Linked DNA regions of Arabidopsis thaliana. The protein of the gene in region 3 interacts with the protein of the main gene of each other region in a pairwise test. Each region holds a gene or a part of one and is shown on either strand. Other genes may lie near its edges. The genes, in order: KNAT3, BSH, SWI3B and FCA.

What was found.
Region 1: the proteins of SWI3B (region 3) and KNAT3 interact in a two-hybrid assay, tested with the Arabidopsis thaliana proteins (2 studies listed by BioGRID).
Region 2: the proteins of SWI3B (region 3) and BSH interact in a two-hybrid assay, tested with the Arabidopsis thaliana proteins (one study listed by BioGRID).
Region 4: the proteins of SWI3B (region 3) and FCA interact in a two-hybrid assay, tested with the Arabidopsis thaliana proteins (one study listed by BioGRID).

What each region holds. Positions count from the first base shown.
Region 1 is NC_003076.8:8,733,767-8,739,336, reverse strand, and holds KNAT3 (homeobox protein knotted-1-like 3), read right to left. Parts: upstream 3,394-5,570; 5' UTR 3,130-3,393; coding exon 2,449-3,129; intron 2,174-2,448; coding exon 2,053-2,173; intron 1,965-2,052; coding exon 1,780-1,964; intron 1,703-1,779; coding exon 1,571-1,702; intron 1,493-1,570; coding exon 1,356-1,492; intron 1,262-1,355; coding exon 1,222-1,261; 3' UTR 736-1,221; downstream 1-735.
Region 2 is NC_003074.8:6,016,119-6,021,487, reverse strand, and holds BSH (transcription regulatory protein SNF5, putative (BSH)), read left to right. Parts: upstream 1-1,821; 5' UTR 1,822-1,896; coding exon 1,897-1,946; intron 1,947-2,041; coding exon 2,042-2,136; intron 2,137-2,245; coding exon 2,246-2,340; intron 2,341-2,680; coding exon 2,681-2,752; intron 2,753-2,864; coding exon 2,865-2,912; intron 2,913-2,994; coding exon 2,995-3,078; intron 3,079-3,181; coding exon 3,182-3,220; intron 3,221-3,345; coding exon 3,346-3,428; intron 3,429-3,530; coding exon 3,531-3,593; intron 3,594-4,075; coding exon 4,076-4,175; 3' UTR 4,176-4,276; downstream 4,277-5,369. Other genes in the region: IAA31 (indole-3-acetic acid inducible 31), read left to right, coding at 448-572, 670-881, 980-1,064, 1,153-1,207. UniProt on the Arabidopsis thaliana protein: Component of a multiprotein complex equivalent of the yeast SWI/SNF complex, an ATP-dependent chromatin-remodeling complex, which is required for the positive and negative regulation of gene expression of a large number of genes.
Region 3 is NC_003071.7:14,227,132-14,232,775, reverse strand, and holds SWI3B (switch subunit 3), read right to left. Parts: upstream 3,805-5,644; 5' UTR 3,754-3,804; coding exon 3,591-3,753; intron 3,497-3,590; coding exon 3,087-3,496; intron 3,001-3,086; coding exon 2,590-3,000; intron 2,236-2,589; coding exon 2,109-2,235; intron 2,021-2,108; coding exon 1,890-2,020; intron 1,795-1,889; coding exon 1,627-1,794; 3' UTR 1,368-1,626; downstream 1-1,367. Other genes in the region: CRL2 (NAD(P)-binding Rossmann-fold superfamily protein), read right to left, coding at 4,278-4,410, 4,586-4,775, 4,871-5,036, 5,111-5,296, 5,370-5,539. UniProt on the Arabidopsis thaliana protein: Component of a multiprotein complex equivalent of the SWI/SNF complex, an ATP-dependent chromatin-remodeling complex, which is required for the positive and negative regulation of gene expression of a large number of genes.
Region 4 is NC_003075.7:9,211,530-9,216,975, forward strand, and holds the start of FCA (flowering time control protein FCA), read right to left. Parts: upstream 3,297-5,446; 5' UTR 2,884-3,296; coding exon 2,550-2,883; intron 2,295-2,549; coding exon 2,224-2,294; intron 2,137-2,223; coding exon 2,058-2,136; exon of another isoform or gene 1-2,057. Other genes in the region: SPH1 (S-protein homologue 1), read right to left, coding at 4,151-4,606. UniProt on the Arabidopsis thaliana protein: Plays a major role in the promotion of the transition of the vegetative meristem to reproductive development. Plays a role in the regulation of flowering time in the autonomous flowering pathway by decreasing FLOWERING LOCUS C mRNA levels.

The DNA.
Region 1 (5,570 bases), on a different chromosome or scaffold from region 3:
AGATGGTGGTGGTTATAATGATTACATGAAGACAGTTCTTTACCCTACAGTTGGTAAAAGACCTAATTTGGCTTCTCTAGTTGGTGGGTGATAACGGTAAACTTTTGAATATCACTGTGAAGCATCGTCCAAGAGACCAAAACTCCGATTATTATTTGAATTTAGAAGACTAACACATACTAATGTTAGACTTCGTTTATCAAACCATTTATACAATCCAAATGACAATTCTCTAAGTTAACAACTTTGATGTTCATTACAAAACTACTTATATGAATCTACTTTCCTAGATTTAATCTAATGTACTAATGGGCTTCTCATGAGACTAGTCTTTGAACTTTGTATGGTCCTCTAATAGAGAGGCGACCAAAATACTTAAGGACACTCTAATTATCTTTGTTAATGTGTGCAGAATCTCTCCGTGATCGATAGAAAAATCTCGCCGAAAACTTACAGTAACTTGTGGCTATCACAAACGTGACAAACGAAACAACAAGATGAGGATAAACAAACAATTTTGACTAGAAAAAAGAACACGTTTCAAATTATTACAATTACAAAAGTACGCAGCAAGCTACGTTATGTAAGATGGGGTATGTTTTATTTTTTGTCGTCATCTACCATGTATAATGTCTTTTACTTATCAAGCCAATATCACGAGTTGGAATGTGACATCGCAATAAATACTACGAACTAAGCGGATAAGAATCATAAGATGGGTTAAGTACGGTTAATGCGAAACATATACTGTATAATAGTCACATAGATTAAGCTAACCAAGTGGTGCGATACAAATTAACATATGCACCTGGTCAATGCGTAACATATACTAGTAGATTAAGAAAACTTGTGCATCCCAATGTTCTCCTCTCTCACTATCTTTATTCACAAGATATATTATGGATGATGATGATGATTATCTGATGGTTCATAAAAAAAAAACTCATGCAGACAAACAAACAAAAAACATTAAACAAAAGCCTGCATCTTCAGTTTTCATATTTTCTTTTTGGTTTGTGTGCTACTTAATAAAATATATGGGCATAATCACATAACCAAACTACGTTACTATGTAATTGCACAAAAAGTTACTTTCTAATACTGTCCCCTCTCTCTGTATAATCCAAACTCCTCCATAAAATTCTCAACTTTAAATCCCTAAAACCCTGCTTTCAAATCCCATCTTCCACCTCCCCAATTCACATCATATGTTTGTTGTTTCTACGCGAACCGCTCTCTTCCGCTATTGTCACCTGCATTGCTTTCATCAGACAAACAAAAGTTTCAGTCTTCTTTGAGTCCGATCCATAAGTTTTTCGGTTATGTTACAAGACTATATTAAAGTATAATAATACCTTTTGCGTTTGTTCTTCAATACAGTGGAAGAAGATGGATTGCTATGCCAGTTCCTCTTTCTCTGATTGATGAACCAATTGTTTATCTGTTTTAGCTGCAAACCTGTCTCTTGCACCAACCTCGCCTTATCTTCCTCCTACAAACCAATATTTGGTTATGGCTCAATGAATGAACTTGAAGAAGTTATAAAGAGATGTTAGATGAGTGAACTCACAGTAGGGTAAGGCCATTTGGAATGAGATTGCCACCAAGCTTTGAGAACAGAGGTGGTATCTCCTGGTAACTTCCCAGCTCTTCTCTTCCTTAATATCTCCTCTCTTATGTCTACTATCTTCTCCTTGTAACCCTTTTCATCAACAAGACAAAGCCCTCTACATTGTTAGTTCATGAACTAGTTCAAAGAACAAGTTTGTTGATTATTACCTGTTTGAGTTCATGTTTAAGTTCTTGTCTAACTCTTTCCATCAACGACCTCTCACTCTCAGTAGGAATCAAAGGACCAAAACCCAACACATCTAATCCCCCATCGAACATATTAGCATCACTCTCTACTTGTTCATCTTCATCGTCAGACATTGTTGCTCCCATCCCTTCTCCAGGAGACACTCCTAATCTCACCAATAAAACACAAAACTTGTCAATGTCATAAAACTAACTATTGGATTCATGAGCTAATCACAGGATTCATTTTCTCACCTGTTAAGCTTTGAAGAGACTGCTCAATCTCCCAACAAGCCATCACAGCTTCCATTGCATGAACACGCACATGTTGTTGCAATTGCTCTTTAAATGAACACAGTAGCAACACATAATGTGTCTACACCATAAAAAAAACATTAATCAAACACACAATAAACACAAAGAACAAAATTTGTATTTTCTTCATCATCATGACCATTATTATATCATAAGCTCTTTTTTTGGGATTTTAGTCTTGTTTATCCCTAAAAACACAAATCTTGATTTTAATATTTTAAGATTTCAAAAATCAAGAAACCTAAGTCGGTGTGTATTATTAAAATTTGTGCTAAGTATAATTATGAAATCGTTAATTATAAAATTATAGAACAAAAAAATCTGAAATTTATATACCATGAACTGGTCAAGTTCTTTATCGTCGCCGACGAGACCTTGAGCGGCGGCGCCTAAAGCTGAGTATTTAGCGACGACGTGTTGAGACTGAGCAAGCTGAGCATCGATTCTCGGAAGCTGATCAACCGGAGTCGCGATTCTCAAACAAGCAACGTGCGCCGACAAAAGCTGCTCGTAAAGAGGATGCGAAAGGATCTCCGCCTTGTGTCTCGCATTCTGCCAGCTCACTACTCCATCCGCCGCCGTAGCTCCTCCGCCGTCGTTTTTGTTTTCTCCACCGCCGGTTTTCATCTCTCCCTGAATCATAGTGTCTGCTCCTCCGGTGACATCATCGATCCCATCTCCGACTATGGAAGCGTTGTTGTTGTTGTTTCGTTGGAGGAAAGAGGAGGAGCGAGATAGCCACTGGTTAGCAGCGGCGGCGGCGGCGGCGGAGGAAGGAGAATCGGAGCTGCTTGCGGTTGTGGTGTTAGCGGTGGCTGTGTGGAGGTTGAGGAAGTTATTGTTGTTATCTGAGGAACGAAGAAGCGCTGTGTTTAACCAATTAGGAGGCGGTGCTTCTTGGAAATGTTGTTGCTGTTGCGGAGGAGGAGGAGGCGGTTGCGGAGGTGGAGGTTGGTGTTGGTCGGTGAAATGATTGAAGGAGAGGTCTTGTGAGAGATGATTGTGATGAAACGCCATCGTTTTGGTTTGACCTTTTTTTTTTTGTTCTTTTTGAATTTTGTTTCCTGTTTCTGAGAGGGAAAGATAAAGAAAGAAGGTGAATCTCTGCTGCTTCTATGACGACGATTGTTTCATATGTTTCAATTATCACCAAAAAAAAAAAAAAAGACACAGAAACTTTTCTTAAAATTGGAAAATAATTGGTTTTTGTGGTGTGTATGTATGTATCTGAGTATATATGTGTGGGTGTGTTCAGAGTTGCACAGAGCTGAGAGATCGAGAGATGACCATTTATTCTCATATTTATTCTTTCTTATTTTTTGCAACCTATTTATCAATATAATTGAATTATTATATGGAATTTATTAGATAAAAAAATATTCCTTCTCTATTCCTTATTATTTAATTTTTTAGAGGAAAAAAATTGTTTTAAAAAAAATAATTTTTAAATTTTCTATACATTATTTATTAGTTATTATTGATAAATTTTTAATTTTAAGATAAATAATTGAATATCATTGGTTTAGAATTATAAAAAAATATAAATCACAAAAGATAATATGTTTATAATTAGTTTTAATATGTTTTTTAATATATGTGTTTTTTTAGAAAATTAATTTAAAAAAAAAAACTGAAAGATAGTAAAAACAAAACATTTTTTTAAAAATCGCTTATGAGAACTTTTATTTGTTAAATATTTTTCTAAATGCTAATTAAAAAGTAAGACAAAAATTGATTTTTTTTGTTAAAGAAAACAAAAATTGATTTTTTTTGTTAAAGAAGACAAAAATTGATGTCACCTCGTATAATCAAATCAACTGATAAAATCTTTTTTGATTTAACTAAGAATTTGTAAACTTTCTTCTATAGTGATATTATTATTGGGGGAAAGATAAAAATCCGACATCATAAATTAACCATAGAAAGCAAAAGTATTTAATAAATCAGTACGCTACATAATAAACAGTGCATTTGAGAAAATAAGATAATTTAGTTATGGTTGACAAAAATGTATTTTTTTTTCTTTTCCAATCACTTTGGTCCACATAGACCTAAGAAAGAATAAATATAAAAGTAAGTGACTAATGAAACAACAAATAGAAGATTAGGTCACGACAGAAAATTAATTAAAGAAAGTAGGTCGTCATGGTTCGATCTATGTCGTTAAATTTTAGTGGCGACTGTATTTATTAAGATCTGACGGCTGCGAAAGGTCGTTGCCTTCTTCGACTGTGTTTGATTTTTTTTATTGTTGGGAATAATAAATGTATTTTTCCTTTTTAAAAAGAGTTGCTACGTGTTGTGTTTTAAGACGCAACGTATCTATGATATGAAGAAGCGCGTGCGTTTCACGTTCAGATGTTAGTGTAATTTTATGGCACTATGAAACAAATTTAACTTATTTATTTATACAATTATTTTTTGCTTCACGCCTTTACCTATTATAAATCCTTCTCGTTTTATGTAATGAAGTTACGAGAAATTATTGAAAACAAAAAATTTAATCATGAATTTAAAGTTACAATTTTAGGTTAAAGATTTGAAATAAAACAATCTTTTAAGAATTTATTTATATGGATTTAAAAGACCTAAGTACCAGAAAACAAATTAGCTTATTTGTTTATGCACACTATTTTTTTGCTTCACCCTTTCACCTTTTTAAAATAATAATAATCATTTCATATAATATAATTTGAGAAATCACTGGTTCTTTAAAATCACATAATTTTCTGAAATCACAGTTTTTGGTAAATATAATTTTTAGATTTTTTTTGGAGTGAAAATTTTCGTACATGCTACGAAACAGAAATTTGGTATAAAATTTGATGGTAGTATATTCGATCGTCACAATAAAAGTTATCGTATATTTTTTTATTTATTTGAGTTTGGTTAAAAACTTAAACGATCAATTAATTTAGAGATTTAAACTTAATTGTGATGAATAGCGTCCTTTTGGTAAATTTTTAGCATTTAATAAGAAGTGAGACGCAAATAGGTCTAGGTTAACTCATACTATAAATGTGTGTTAACATAGTCACATATATAACTTCATCTTTGGGCTGGTTCTTATATTATCAAAACCGTTTTTATTTAGGATTTGAATGGTTATGGCGGTTGGGGCGGATAAAACCGTCAACGGATCATACCGTTTTTTATTTATTATTTATTAATTATAGTTCGTAGTGATCTAAAAAAAATAGAAGAAAACCGCAACGGACCATCTGCAGACCATTTTTACATACAAATAAACTTGGTCTGCAACGGTTTTTTGTCTGCCAGATAAACTAAACCGCAAACAAATTATACCGGTTTGTCCACACTGCATCCATCCAAAGTCTTATTTTCAAGAAACCACTTCATCAAATGTGTCCAATCATTACATAAATCAATTTATTTTATTCACAATAGTTATGAATGTCGAGCCACATGTCATCTTACTCAACCAAAAAAACGCCGAA
Region 2 (5,369 bases), on a different chromosome or scaffold from region 3:
TTAACTCCAACATCATTTAGACACACTTTCCTTGGATACCACCTTTTTACGGAAACTTCGAATCTTACATGTAAACAAATCTCAAAACCATAATTTCACATTTTTACTACTAACTAACTCCAAAGATCTAAACCCATGAATTAAGTATCTAATCGGGTAATTATTACAGTGGTTTTCAGAAATCAATGTGTGTTCATATTTAGAAGGTTGAAAGTTCATAGTTAAATGTGGGGAACCTTATGTTCCTATTATTTATTTATATTAAATTTCAAAGTCGATTAAATCAATTTTTAAATTCAAAATCTATGCAATAGAATCACCTACTAGTCCTTTTTTGTTTAACTAGACAGAGAGAAATAGAAATAGAGAGAGAGAGACATGAAGAGCACTCTCAATAGAGAAGAGAAGGAAGCATGAAGCTAGCTCTGCAGCTTCAAGGTCTCATTAATGGAGGTCTCTAACTCTTGTTCTTCATTTTCTTCATCCTCTGTCGACAGTACTAAACCTTCTCCTTCTGAATCTTCTGTTAATCTCTCCCTTAGTCTCACATTTCCTTCTACTTCTCCACAAAGGTCTTATTCACATCACTTCTCTGTTTTTTCCTATGTTCTGTTTTTGCTCTGTTTTCTTTTGTTCACATTTGTGTTTTAAATCTTTATTTTTTTGTAGAGAAGCAAGACAAGATTGGCCACCGATAAAGTCTAGATTAAGAGATACACTAAAGGGTCGTCGTCTTCTTCGTCGTGGTGATGACACTTCTCTCTTTGTTAAGGTTTATATGGAAGGTGTTCCCATTGGAAGAAAACTCGACCTTTGCGTATTCTCAGGCTACGAGAGTCTATTAGAAAATCTCTCTCACATGTTCGATACTTCAATCATCTGTAAGTAATTAATGAACAACACATAATTCCGTAAAAACAACATTCAACTAAATTCAAACAGTTTGAAGTATATCCATGCATTGTCTTGGCTATAACAGGCGGTAATCGAGATCGAAAACATCATGTTTTGACATATGAAGACAAGGATGGAGATTGGATGATGGTCGGAGATATTCCATGGGAGTATGAATCTTATATCTTGATCTTACATTGGTATAATTTCCTCGGTTATAGCTATTCTCTAATTTTTGAAATCGATGTTTTTGTTTAGTATGTTTCTTGAAACCGTGAGAAGACTAAAGATCACGAGACCGGAGAGGTATTAAAACTTGGATCGGTCAAGGCTGTGATTGCGCAGTTACGAGACGTGTAAGATTTAGGCATTGATGAAGAGACTTGAGGCGGGACGGAGCTATTGCTGCATATTGCAACAAAGGCCTTGAAGAAGTTGGAGAATTGATTGATGCATATATTTATTTATATGACACCTTTGAGTGTGTTTTTTCTTATAAATAAATCACAATATCCAAGACTTCTCTTTTTTGTTCTGAATAATAATAATGCAAAGATTTTTTATATGTTTGTAATCGTGTGTTTCTTCGAATGTGTTACATGACTAGGAAAAAAGTACACGAACGTTGTTATGGGGAGCACGAACATGGAATAGAGGAACGTTGTCAGGAAGAGAATGATTCTCTTTGATCTGCCGGCAGCCGTCTCGTTGGTTGTCACCAATGTACAATTTTAATGTTGAGCCCATTTAAAGCCCACTAAATGACTAACAAGCTCGTTTAAAGCCCAAATGCTGCAATTGATCGTAGGATCGGATCCAGATAATTCGTCCCAAAATGGGAAAATTCCAAATTAGAGGTGAAATGTGTAAAGACATTAGAATATAAGGGTGATTCTGAAATAAATTAAGCTAGCGCCGGAAAAAGATCGAGAAATTGAAATTTCCCACACTCTCTCGCTGACTCTCTTCGAAACTCAATTTGTGAAATTTGGGGGTTTAAGGATGAAGGGTTTAGTGTCTACTGGTTGGAAAGGTCCCGTCAAGTTCAGGATGTAAGTTTCGTCGCTTCCTCTACTTTGTTTGTTTTGAAATCGAAATCGAGTTCATGTGTTTTTGTTTTTTCTGATGAATCGATTTGTAATCGGAGCTATAGGCCCACTGCTGAAAACTTGGTACCTATTCGATTGGACATTCAATTCGAAGGTCAGCGTTACAAAGATGCTTTCACTTGGAACCCTTCAGGTTTCTCTCTTAAAAACCCTACCTTTTTTTTTGTTTTCCATCTTCTCGCATCTTATTACAGTAGCAGTGTATGTGATTCACTGATTCTTGTTTTTGGTTTTGGATACAGACCCGGATAATGAAGTCGTTATCTTTGCCAAAAGAACTGTTAAAGACTTGAAACTTCCCTATGCATTTGTCACTCAGATTGCCCAATCTATTCAGGTTGTTTCTAAACTAGTTCACACTGACCTATCTTTAGTTTTTCTTCTGCTCTGATTTTGTTGTTAGTTCTTTTGCTTGTCATAGAGATGAGCTTAAATTTAAGGTCACCTATTAGTCTTAAACCAATCACACTTTCGACTTATTGTTTTTAACTCTTTAGGTTTTTTTACTCGAGAAGAGGCCTGTTTATAGCATTGTACTTTGGGATGTATATCTGTAAGACTGTGCTTTTGTGATGAATGTACTCTTGCTTCAGTTATGTTCTGTTCTGTTTTTGTAAGTATTGGAATAATTTCTTCAGAAATCTCTACTTACATTGGTCAACTTCCTGCTTTATCAGTCTCAGCTCTCAGACTTTCGGGCTTATGAAGGACAAGACATGTACACTGGTGAAAAAATCATACCAATTAAGGTTTTATGACGCTAGATATCCTTATCCCTCTCTCTTTTGTCCATGAGTGATTTGTTGGAAAAAAAGAAGTTCTAGAAGCTGATAAGCTATCTTTCTTTCTTTTTTGTGCCAGCTTGATCTCCGAGTTAACCATACTCTCATCAAGGATCAGTTCTTATGGGTGAGAATACTTGGTGATTTTGAACAATTTCAACTATTGTTTGTACTCTTTTTCTCAGTGCAGCTTGATTGCCGTTTTGCAGGACCTAAACAATTTTGAGAGTGATCCTGAGGAATTTGCAAGAACCTTGTGCAAGGATTTAGGTGTTGAAGACCCTGAAGTTGGAGTAAGATAACCACTCAATTTTTTACATTTCATTATCTGAACTAATGAACCTAAGTTTCAAACGTTTGATACAAGTGATTTTTGGTTTCTCCTTCTCTCTGAAGCCTGCTGTTGCCTTTGCAATAAGGGAACAACTTTACGAGGTTAAAACTTTGATTGTAACTTTAAGCTACTCTCTCTGTATTTCTGTATACTCTATATATGTTTTCTATTTTGAACAAGAATGCCAAACTTACTGAGTTACCATGTCGTTGTTTTTGCTTGCCAGATTGCAATTCAAAGTGTGGCTTCAGCTAGGGAGAGTAGATTAAGCAAGAAAGGCCGCAGAGGATCTGATCATGGTTCAGCGAGGTATGTTCACGTTGCCCCTATTTGTCTATCCAAGTTACCTTGTGGTAATATTAGAGCCTAGCTCAAAAAATTCTAAAATAACTTTCCATCTTATATGTGCAGCAAGGCAAGTGGCCTGTCAATGGACTTAATGAAGTTATTCAGTTTTAAGTCCAGTGTAGTTCGGTAAGTGATTTTCTTACCCACTTAATGCATACATTTTCTCTGTTGCATTGTCTTCTTAAGATCTGTTGGACGACTGACTTCTAGCAGCTAGATCGTTTATAAGATAAGTTAACTTTGCGACACATCCTGAGCGTTTTTCTTACACATACTCTTGAATGCCACCTCTTCATGCATTATATCATTTGATAGTAGATTATCCCAATATTTGGAGCTGGTCCCTACTGAGATTGTTCTAATAGTAATTTCTGGTGATGTTACATGTTGTTATTGAACATAGAAAACCGAATCACTAGGTTGGAAATTGTTTGATTACAAAATAAACTCTGTGGAAATTGAAGAAGTTCTCTTCCTGCATTGCTTATCACTAAATGGGAGTTTTTCAAAAAATAAGATTTATGGACACGAACAAATTTGACTTGCAAGACCAAGCAAAAGCTATAACAGAATCCAAAAATAACAAATTTTGTCCATGATCTTGACAGGAAAAGGAAAGACTTGGATGTTTATGAACCAGTTGTGGATCTGCTAACAAGTGAGGAAGTTGATGCGCTTGAAGCCAGGGAAGAGAGACATGCAAGGTGAAGAGTTTCGTTTACATGTATAAATATTTCTTAGGGCAACACTCAAAATATGTTGTATCATGCTTAACTTGAGTTAATGATATTAAGACAATCTTTTATGAGACACATAATCCTTAAGATGCATCCGGTGTGTATGAGTGCCCTGGCCTAAGTATGAGATTTCGGTTTAGTAAACCTGGTTAGGTGAAACACCAGTGGGTGTGGAATGAAGAATCTTTAGATGATATAACCTCAATGGGACATGTTAGGTTTGCAGAGTTGAGTGAAACCATTTCTTCACTCTTTGATTAAGATGTTTCCCAAACTTTGAGCATGTTAAAGAATGTTAGAGAGAGAGTTAGAGGATTAAAAAAAATATAGTAATGAAAGAAAGAAAGAAAAATGAAGGAGATTCAAAGGACAAGACACGTTGTGAGAATCAAGTGACCCACTTGAGACTTTAATAAGATCTCATCATCAACCATTAACCTCACTGTCGATATACGGTCGTACTTTTTCTTCTATTCTCTTCTCTTTGCCCTTTTTTTTTTCTCTTTTTCTTGATTCAATGATTGGGTCCCTCTCTAAGCTCAAGCTGCTGTCATCTAAATTAATTAATATGCGAAAATAAAAATTATTGGGTTTATTTTTGTTGGAAGTTTTGTAATTTTGTGTAGAGATTATTGATCAGTTTTTGGTTGTGTACATTTATGAGTTGTACTTGTGCCCTATCCTTTGAAGGTTACATGGATAAACAAGTTAATGTCTTGAATCGGCTGAGTCTTTATTATAGAATCAATTTGATGAATAAGTTAAAAATTTGAAGCTGGTTTTAATATTCGACACCAATATAGCAATCAACCTAACTGAAATTGAAGAAAACTATGTTATACTTTGAGTTTCAACTTATATACTTCTCTAAATGACCAAAAGTTAAAAAAAGATCCATTTGTTTACATAAACTGAATCTAACCGAAATCAAACCAAAAAAAGATGTAGTTGTCCAGCTCTAATCAAGGTTGCAAGTTACAAATGTTTGTTATTCTCTTTGTGGCTATAAAAGGATTTGGGTCTACTTGAGAGACGAAATTGTTTTTTATTGACTGAGAAGAGTAATGACTAATGAGCATAAAGCCTGTACTCTTTATGTCTGTCCGAAGTTAGGAACGTCAACTCAGTCGATAGATTGTGTACATTGAGACAATATTAGACCGTT
Region 3 (5,644 bases):
CCACATGATAAGTATGTCAAATAGAAGGGAAGCAGGTGTAGAAGGCCACATTCGAATAGCTGAAAACTCAAGCTACCAATAGAGAGTGCAAACTAAACTATGGCAAAGATGTTCCTCTTTCTTTCACTTGATGGCAAATACAAGAAGAGTTCCGTCACGCAAAAACCGGCTTAATAATCAAATAGTAAGATTGTTACCTATGACATATGACACACGTACATATATTAAATAAAACCTAAACAACAAAGCTAACTTTCTATTAATGTGCCTCTTTTTTCCAATCAAACTTAATATTTCATTAATAAAAAAGCTTAACCTAGATAAAAAGAGAAATAGAGGATACATCAAAGGTACAAGGAACCGAACCAACCAACACAACAACCAGCAAAGTGATCGCATAAGAAAAAAAAAAGCTAAAACTTAGCAACAAAGCTCAATTAGAGACATGCAGATAACGAGATAAAGGCTGAACTAAAAAATTCTACCAAAGCAGAAACTAATTATAAAGGCCATCAATAAAGTAGTTATGATAAGTTATTTACCTCTATATATTTTTATTTTTTATATTGGGAAATTGTTTAGAATGCAGTATTAATATGTACATAATATATTATGGTTTATATTTTGAATTTAAGATGTAAATTGATCTTTTTAAAAAGAAAAAATAGAGTTTAAATATTTACGAAGAATGGATATTTACTGAATTTTTAGTTAAATATAAAAGATTTTATATTGTACGAGTTTAATATATAAATAAATTGGGTTTGGTTTCCCGATGGGGAAGAAAGAAAAATACACTCTCTTTGTTTCTAATAAATTGATGTTCTACCACTTTTAACTTGTCCCACAAAAAAAACATTTTCGTTTTTTCTTTATTTTTTTTAAATATCACTCACTCCTTTCTAAATTAGTTATGTTTTAGAAATTAAATTTTGTATTAAATTAGTTATCGTTTTATATTTTCAATGCATGTTTTTGAAAGATTTTCCAAAAGAAATTCTTATTGTTTTGGCTGATTAATTGATGATATGATATTAAATAACACATTAATTAGAGATAAAACAGAAAATTCAATGTTTTTTTAGTTTGTCTGAAAAACCTGAACTAGTAAAGTTCAAGATAAAATGATTGAAATTTGTTAGACTGCTATTGGTTTATAGTTATTGAAAATGTTTAATATAACAAACAATACAGAAATGATTAATTAATGACTGTTTCTTAATATAAAAACCATCACTCTTTTAGCAACAAAGAGAGTAATCATGTTACGGAGATACAAAAAAAACATCGGTAACTTAACAACATTTGAAGATTAACCTATTTAGTGAAAACAAAATCTATCTTTTATATCGGATATCTCCAAAACCCTGACATTTTCTATTGTTTCCAAAAGAGCAAAATTAATTTTTAAAACTTTTCCACTTGTGATTGCCTGATAAAGACAAAAATTATACTTCGACGCAGTTGCCATTTGGTTTTGACTTTTATACCAACCCAGCCTTATTTATACCAATTCGATCTCATCTCATTTTGTTACCAACACATCTCAAGTACACTACAATACAAGTCATCTTCTTAACCAGACAAGAATCAAATAAGAAATAACAGTTTCAAATTAAGTGCGTTCTAACACTCTATTCTATCTTCAGTTTTCCGGGCTTTTCTGGTGTGGAAGAAAATGTTTAATTGATCAACGAAAAGCAGATTCCTCACCTCCTCCAATTGTTTCCGGCTTCTCTCCATTTCCAAATCCAATTTCTCGAAATGAACAATCCTATCTCGGATCTTCTTCATCTGTTAATCCCAAATTTTGTTTGTTCCAACATAAATCATCATTGAGTATAACCATATAATAAAAAGTCTATGGAAAGTTGCAGATTGTTACTAACCTCAACTTCAACAGTCTCTTTGATTGCTCCTTCTACCTCATGCTCTTCCTTCTCAATTAAAGACTTTGCATCTGCCCAAGCTCTTTCAGATTCGTTTCTAGTGGTTTCACCACTCGATGCAGCATTGGCATCTGTGTATCAGGAAAACAAAACTGTCACTATTGGGTTTGGCTTAGGACAGAAATGGACTGCAAATAGAGACAGCTTGGTCTTTGATACCTTGTCGATTTGGGTCTCTACTGGCGTTTTTGTCAGCCTCGTAGTCTACATCAGATAAAGCTCTCACTGCCGCTCGAGCTGCTGCTTCTGCAACATTTGTGCCAGCCAAAGCTGAAAGAAAAGCAGCCTGAAGAGGACATGATAGGATAAATCTTATTCAGAGACAGCCAATGAAGCATAACAATTGAGGTGTGATAACACAGTACAGAATTATCTAACACATATTTGATTCTTAAATGCCTTATATATGTCAACTAGGGTTTGTTATTACTAGATTTCAAAGTAAGCCCCACAAGGTATTCTAGATTTAGGTTCTTTAAGGAGACAAAAACGCAAGTCGTGGAACAGCCTAGTGCAGACACTGGACTATTCTTCAGTAGCCTAACAATGTAAAAGCATTTCCACGCATGTTGAAGACTTATACAAATAAGATTAACATAGAGAGAGAACGCAACTACTCAAATTGTAGTGTCTTTCTAACCTGAGCCATTATTGGGTTGCTTGCATCTGCAAGAGGTGTTAATTTGATCCGCTTGTTGGGAGAAGAACCGTCTTTATCTATTCCTTCAGATTCAGGAATATCAGAGTCCTTGATCTGATCAAACATCTCTAAACCATCCTCAGAGTCAGACTCTTTTACAAACTGTTCCCCAAACGGAAGCTTGACAAACTGAGAAACACAATCCTTCTCCGTTCTACCAATAACATGCGATGCAACCTTCTTCCAATCATCTCCATAGTGCATAACAGCTTCCAGCAGCAGCAGAATTTCCTTATCAGACCACTCTGGCTTTGACTCCTCACTAATCTCAACTCGTTTAAACTCCGAGGAGTTAATACCAACACGATAATTACTACGAACATAGCACCTCGCACACAATGTCAAGTCATACTGAAAACAAAAATGTACATAATCATTCTAAGTGACAAACTCAGTGAATGAAATTATTACTATGGCTACAAATTATGAAATCAAACCTTATCACAGGCGAAACAAGCTATGCTGCAAATTGCTTTGCAGCCATTGCAGTTTCTCTTGGCAGTTTCTTTGACAGTTGTGGCTGGCTCAGAAGCAGCATCTCCGGCGGATTTTCCGGCCTCTTTTTCTTCCCACTTGAGCGGCTTAGCAGAGGCGGAGCTATTATAGTTGATAAGTCCCCATGAATCGAGGAAATCAAAGACGCGACGAATAGAGACAACATCACTGACGAGAGTTCTCCGAACGTCAGTGAAACTAATCTTCCGAGGATGGTCGTCTCTGTACTGCTTAATAATCGAGTTCCTCAAGTAGAGATAAAACTTAGGGTTTTTGGATGAAGATCTCGAATCGAAAAATTCCGGCAGTGACCGGACCTCGCAATCGTTAATGTCGGTCCATGAAAACCAACCTAATTGGTTAAATAGACGGTACAAGTACAAAATCCGTAAGAAACAGTGAAGAAAGTAGAATAAATCAAAGTTTTCTCGGCGTTGCAGACTTACTGGAGTAGCTAGGTACGTGAATATTATCGATATCGGAAGAAGAAGACGGCAATTGAGCCGACTTAGAAGCTGCTGCGGCGCCTCCAGACGTAGTTTCGGAAAGAGAGGGAGTGCTCGGGAGAATTTCCCCAGATCCGCCGGGATCGGGAGCTTTCATGGCCATGACTCTCTGTTTAACTAACGCAACTTCGCCGGAGAAGGAAGAGGGAAAAGAGAATCTAGCTATCGAGATGGGCAAAGTTAAAAAAAAAGTCGGATATCTAAACGGGCCTGGTTTGGGCCCTAATACAGGTCCATTAACCTGGCTTTAGTTGTTAAATATTGCGAATGTTTTTTTAGTCCCATGGTCAGCCAAGATGTAGTGCATCTGCTACGCTAGGCTTAGAGGTTAATTCGAATGGTGAAGTTGTGCGTTACTGATTTCATGTATTAATGGTGAAGTTATCCTTTGTAAGTAGGTAGAAATTGGAACGTATCAAAGAGATATTGGAACATAGTTATGGAAGGAGTAATTGTAGATTGGTCATAAAAGTAATGGTGTCTAAGAAAGTAACAAAAACTCAGAAGTTCATGATGGAAAATATGTTGCACAACTCTTATTCTTGAGTAAAAGATGAAAGAGCGTGTGCAGATAGGAACACTTAACACATGGACCCAAAACACTCATATGCTATTCGTTCCCAGTTTTCAGTCCACAAGCTTAGCTTTGCGGTAGCTCTCAACAGAATCCACAAGTGTTTCCTCCAACGGCCGGTAAGTCCAACCCAACTTCTGCAACTTCTCTGAACTCACCTTCACTTTTCCATCCGCTTCGATGTATCTGATATTGGATAAGTAGAATTTAGATCAAAGGTAAGGTCTAAAAGAAACTTCAGAGACATTGATGTAAAGGTAAGTGACACTGTTTACTGATGAAAGTAACAAAAACAGCTTATTAAGGTTTAAAGGTTTTCACTCAAATTGGGTAGAGAGATGTGCAGCTGTTGTTTGCTTACCTCTTTGGGTAGTTGTAATTTAGATAAAGACTTTTCAGCTTCTCAGCGACTTCTTGTTCCCTAACCGTGTGGCCTATGCAGATGTACCTTCCTTCAGCTTCTGCTTTCTCATAAACCAAAAGTAAAGCTTGAGCCACATCACGCACATCTACCAAATGCCGTTCTTGGTTATTACGCGATTCATAACCCTCTGCACCACACTTAAGTATAAAATCAATACCAACTCATATACCAAGTTGCTGCTTCTAACAATCCCAGATGAAATGAGAGGCTTGTTTATAATACCTTTAAGAAGCTTGAGAAGAACAAGGCTACTAGCATTTACTGTGTGCTGCTGCAATACAGGTCCCAAGACAAGGGTAGGGCAAACACTGACGAGATCAAGTCCGGTTCGTTTTGCAAATTCGAAAGCTTCACTTTCTGCTCGTGTCTTTGACAAAGAATACCAATTCTGCCAGAGGGACGAAAGTCAGATTTAAAAGAAGAAAAAAAAGTGAGATGAGGGATTCAAGATGCATTATTAACCTCAGTTTTTTTGCAATAATCTTGGTCAGACCAAGCGGTCTCATCTAACACTTGACTCTTTGACCACATAGGGTTCATAGCAACTGCAGATACAGAGGAAACATACACAACACGCTTAACTTTTGCTTCAACGCATGCCTTAAGCACATTCAGCGTACCATCCACTGCAGGTGCGATCAAATCTACCTGCAAAACCAGTGAAACCATAGTGAGACAATGCATATAGCCACCAATGAGATTGTAAAAATGAAATCCTCACCTCAGGATTAGGGACTGAAGCAGATGGAACAGGGCAAGCGACATGGAAGACGCCGCTGCAGCCAGCAATAGCAGATTGAAGAGAGCCGTAGTTGAGCAAATCAGCCTTGAAGAGCTTGAGTTTGTCACCAGCTTTATCAAGCTTCTTCAAATGAGCATACTTTTCATTACCTATAACAAGAACCATGCGAAACTCTTCATCAGAACAATAGACAAACTCAAAAGGCTTAATCTTCTGTCTGTAGACAGAAACATCGGAGCTACAAAAAGAATTGG
Region 4 (5,446 bases), on a different chromosome or scaffold from region 3:
CTTAAGCTATCTGTTTCAGGGTTCAACTTTTCCTTCTACCATCAAATTGTACTAGTAACAAGATGTACTACTCAAAGCACATAAGTTCAGTAGGAAAATCATAAGACATGTCTGACAGCCTCCACTTAAATATTGATGTAAAGTTGTTGGAGAGAATAAATTAATGTCTTCAAATGGAGAATATGGCAAAAACAAATATTAAAAAATTGAACACAGTCAGTATCTGCAGATAACATATCTACAAGAGGGCCTTTCAGACAAAGGGTGGCTGCATTTGTCCAAGCAGGATCCATTTGAAAGAAAATCTAGAAACATGTACAAGTTAATTAGCAACATAAAACATAACTATAGGTCCAAAGTAACGGATTCAGTATGTAAGAATCTCAATAATTGATGAGTAGCGGATAATCAAAACCAAAACATATACACATTTTCGTCACCATACATCAAGCATTTGAAGACTTCAAATAAAGAACTACAGTTATGGGCAAGATAACTCATTGGAAAAAAATCTAATTCAGAAAAGAATACGATTGCTTCATGTAATACATAATTAGGCCCCTGCCTGATGCTGATTGATCAAGGGCAAGAGAGTGAAGTCAACATGCTGTATTAACATCAGAAACTATTCTAAGAAACTAAAACAATCAGGTTCCTTCCATATGTTTGCACCACCTAACATAATAATATTTCACAAGGCTGAAGAAAGAGTTGTATGGAATCTAGTACATTCAACCGCGATCAAAAGTGTTTATGTCACCACAATCAGATGCATTTGTTCTGCCATCCACAAAGGTGTAGCAGTTATAGAAATAATAACTTCTTGGAAAGTCAAGAATTTATAAATAACTATGCACGTACAAACACACCATTCATCGTCTAGTATTTCTTCACACTGACAAAATAGAGACAGAACTAAATGGAGTAGTAGAACAGGAAATTCAATAATAAAATAACAGTTGCACCTTGCAAGCACAAAGGCTTGATTAGCGAAAAGGGAGCATACAAAAAAAATCTATCATCAAACATTTCTTCCACATAAATATCGATCAGCACTGCAAGGGCCACCATACAGACATAAGAGCTACTCAACAAAATATTCATTCATCTATGACGAGAGATGGTATATCACATCACAAGCCATCCAAGGAATAGAGACGTGGGAACATACAAAATACATACATAAGAACTACTAAACAAATCATTCATTCACCTATGACGAGAGATGGTATATCACATCACAAGCCATCCAAGAAATTGAGAGGGACGACCATACAGAAAGCACACATTTCAGGCCATTCAAAGAGAGTGGAAAGAAATATAGCCATCATAGTTCCTCAGGCCATCAACAAAAGAAAAGGAGAAACGCATTCATTCCAGCATCACTCATCCAAAAAGGTAAAAGGAATGCCATCATTAACCAATAGACAGCACACCCATAAATTGATATGAAAGAAAATGAAGACGCCAAACCTCCAACATGATAAAATTAGAAAGACGGCCAAATCTTTGACCAGCAGGAGTGGCAAATCAAGAAACCATCTTTTGAACCTCATGTCCTTATCAAACTACCAACTTAAAAAAATACATTCATCCTGTCAAGACCATACACAACATCTTCAATCCATCTAGAGGAAGAGTAAAGAAAATGAATTTCAATAGGAGAGGAAAATAGCGATGTTCTTATAACCAATTCCCACTATAAAGGCAACAGCAAAATTCAGTTCTCTGTACATTAACTCCAACTCTAAAACACCCTCAATAAATTCTACACTTTTCAAACACATCTAAAGTTCTAGAATACACACAAGTAGCGAAATCTATTTGCCCAACATAAGTACATAAACCCTTTCTTAGCACAGGTAGCCTTCTTCTGTGACAGAATCGAACACAGATAAGACGCTGGCAAGCATAAGCAATAAGCCCGAAAATTGTTGCAAACAATTGGAGGCCAATGATGAGACTGGGGTTGCTTCCCATCAGCCTTTTCAGGGAGACCTGAAATTTTAAAAAGTATAATTCACGACTATTTCCTAATAAAATGGAGATTGACATACCTTGCTGCTGTCCAGTTCTCTTGTCCTTGATCAGAGCAACCTCCAGAACATTTCCATGCTGTTCGAAATAGGGACGGATCTACAATATGAAAACCAACAGAAAAAATTTAGAAAAGGTTCTCAGTAATGAGTATATAGATAACAATGATTTCCAAGATTAACTCACTTCTTCTTCTGTAGCTGTCCTTGGTACAGATCCAACAAAAAGCTTGACTGTACTGCTACGATCAGAGACATCTGCAAATCAAATTAACCAGATAAGGATACACATGAAGATGGCATATAGTTTTGATTATCACATACATGGGAAAATCGAAAGGATCCTCTAGAGTCGATCCCATGAAAAACCTTCAACAATACAGTAACATAACAACCATACTACCTTTCAATACTCTAATCATTGATTCCCACAAAAATAAGAGACACTCAGGAACCTTAACAGACTACAAGAATAAATATACATAGAAGAAAGAAGAGTGAACTCATGCTTACCAGTTCCAGTAAAGCTGCCATGGTCTGAGATAGGATACCCTCTTTTCTGACCGGAAAGAGGCTGCTGGACCGGCGGTGTAGTCGGTCTTACAGAATAATCAGACTCCATTGCTTTACCGATAAATCTCCTCCTGTCTGGACTCTCTGAAGGAGGATACTTCGCGGGATAGTTATACCGAGCTCCAACAATTGACCGTGTCCCTTCTCCTCCCACACCACCGTTAGGACCCATTGGACGAAAACCATCATCGTAGGCAAACCCCATAGGCCGAAAACTTCCACCATGGTGAGGACCCATAGGCTTAAAATCTACTCTATCTGGGGGACCATTCATCTGCCGGAAACCTCCATCTCCGGGACCATCAAAATCCTTAGGAGTGTCATCTTCCCAGCGTCGACCACCATTACCTCCTCCTCCGCCCCCAATTCCAATTCGATAATTGCTAGGGCTGCTTCCACGACGACGACGGTGGCGGCGAAAATCATCATCATCCTCTTCGAAGCGTGAATCTGAGGGACGAGATGGACCTCTGGGATGGGCTCGGTGGTTATGGTAGGAATCCTCGTAGCCGCCACTCTCATGGCGATCCCTTCGGTGTCTGTCCAGCTTGACGTAGTGGGGAATTGCGATTCCAGTCGAAGAAATCAAAGGACTAGGAGCCCTAGAAATTTGGGATCTGTATGAAACCAAAGAGAGAAGAAACGAGTATCGAAGATGATGAATTTGATTGAAGATGAGATCAATTTAGTTGCTCGAAATTTTGATTTTTTTGTCCGAATGTAAAAAAGAAAAAGCGGTCTAGTTACGGTAATAGTGGTTGGACCGGTGATTCAGTTGAAATTTGGACCGGTAGACTTTATTGAGTCTTGGCTGATAACGAAAAATACAGCTACTTGGGCCATCAATATATTTATATACTGCCAAAAGGGGGATACAATTGTTCCAATGAGTTTTCGTTAACAAAAGGAAAAAAATTGACATTTCAGGTAACTCTCACATTCTTAAGTCCAATCCAAAATTCTCATGTCAACTATATGCTTCAGAAACATTTTGATATAGTACATGCATTTCATGGCGTTTATTAAATCATGTGTTGGGTGATCAATAATATAAAGTTCTAAGTAATGCAAAATACTTGCATCACTATATGAATTTAGAGGATATATGACTAGGTCTGAACTACCTTTTACCTAAAATAATCAAATGAATATTTACTGTTCGTCTCCTTCATCATGAGTCACTAGATTCATGAGTCAATAATCAATGGCTTTGTCTTGAGTCAAGTTAATCGTTTAACAGGTTTTTAATGGTTTGAAAGCAAAAAGAAATCTTACCAATATATATAAGTGTAAAATGTAATCTCTATATATCACAAACACAATATTGTTATTTAATCTATGATCTTATTATCTCAGAAAATTAATCTAATAATTAAATGACCTATAAATAAAGAACTAAAACAAAAAATCTATCATTGATGAAAAATACACAAAATAAGAGAGAAAGTTAAAACAAATGTTTTTTATTATTTCAATTTTTTTTTTGCCAAAAACAACAAGATACATGTACTAAAAAATTACCAAAAAGCAAAAATATGGCTTCACCATCCAACTTCCCATTTTCTTGACAATACATCTTCACCGCTCGCTGAATTCCAAAGATAAAGGCCATCAGTTTTTGCAGTCCAAATGCAATTCTTCCAACCGCATCTATGGAACAAGATAACATCATCCCAAAACACGTTTACATTCATATGACCATTATCTTTGTTCATATAGCACCAAAAAAAAGTTGAGTGAAGCATATTTTCTCCGAAGTTCCAAGAAAATCTATTTCTAAACTTCAGATTAATTTCACCTAGATCATCTTCTTTAGATTTACAATGGATGAAAAGAGTTTCACCAGTTGTCAAACCGTTAACAACCGTGACTTGCCACTCAGAAATCTTCGGGACTATAATGTCTCTCGTGGTGGTGCCGCCGACTAAGACATGGTCTTGACATGTTAGGGCCAGAGAAAAGCAAATTGCCAAGAGAAATTGTTTGATGCAATTCATACTTTTTTCAGGCAAGCAAAATCTTTAGGGAGAACTTTTTTGTTACTTCTTTTTATAATGGAAGAGTGAAACGGTAATTGACGTTTAATTAAATTTTGATGTTATTACATTGCATTAATGAAGAGTCATGCTGCAAATCATTTAAGTGATTGCATGTTAATTAGAAATGAAGCTGAAAGGTTAGTACATATAATAATCCAAGTACGTAGATGATTGTGGCATAATATATTAAGATTAAAAAATACTAATTTATATTGTGGTGTAAGCTATTAGTTTTGAATTTATTATGTGAATCAATTTTAAAAGTTATTAGTTTTTAGATTTAGATTATGACCCAAGAATTCGAAGTATATAATCGAAAAATTTAATGTATAAAAATAATAATTCAACATGGTCGATCGGGTATTTATTTCTAGTAAAATAGTATTTCATAAACCTAATTTTAGTTAACTATATAAATTATAACACTAGTAAAGTATTCTGCCTTTTACGTTACTTTATTGGGATTAATAAAAATATATTGGATTCGTTGAAATCCAATAACAAATTGTAATTTTGATCTTTGATTCATAGAAACAAAAAGTTACGAAATTAAAGAAATTTTTAAACAAAAGAGTACTCGACCAGAAAAATATGTTTTTTTTTCTATTTTCTCACTCATATTTTTCAGATAGAGAAAGCAATTTTCAGTACACCGAAATTAAAATCCGACGACTAAAAATAGTTTCTTCTCTCTCTCAAATCCTTCTGAGAGGAGAGGTTTCTTGTCGATGGAGTTTGATTTCGGTTTTGTCTGGAATTTTATATATTTTCGTGTATATACAAACAAAATAACTGCCG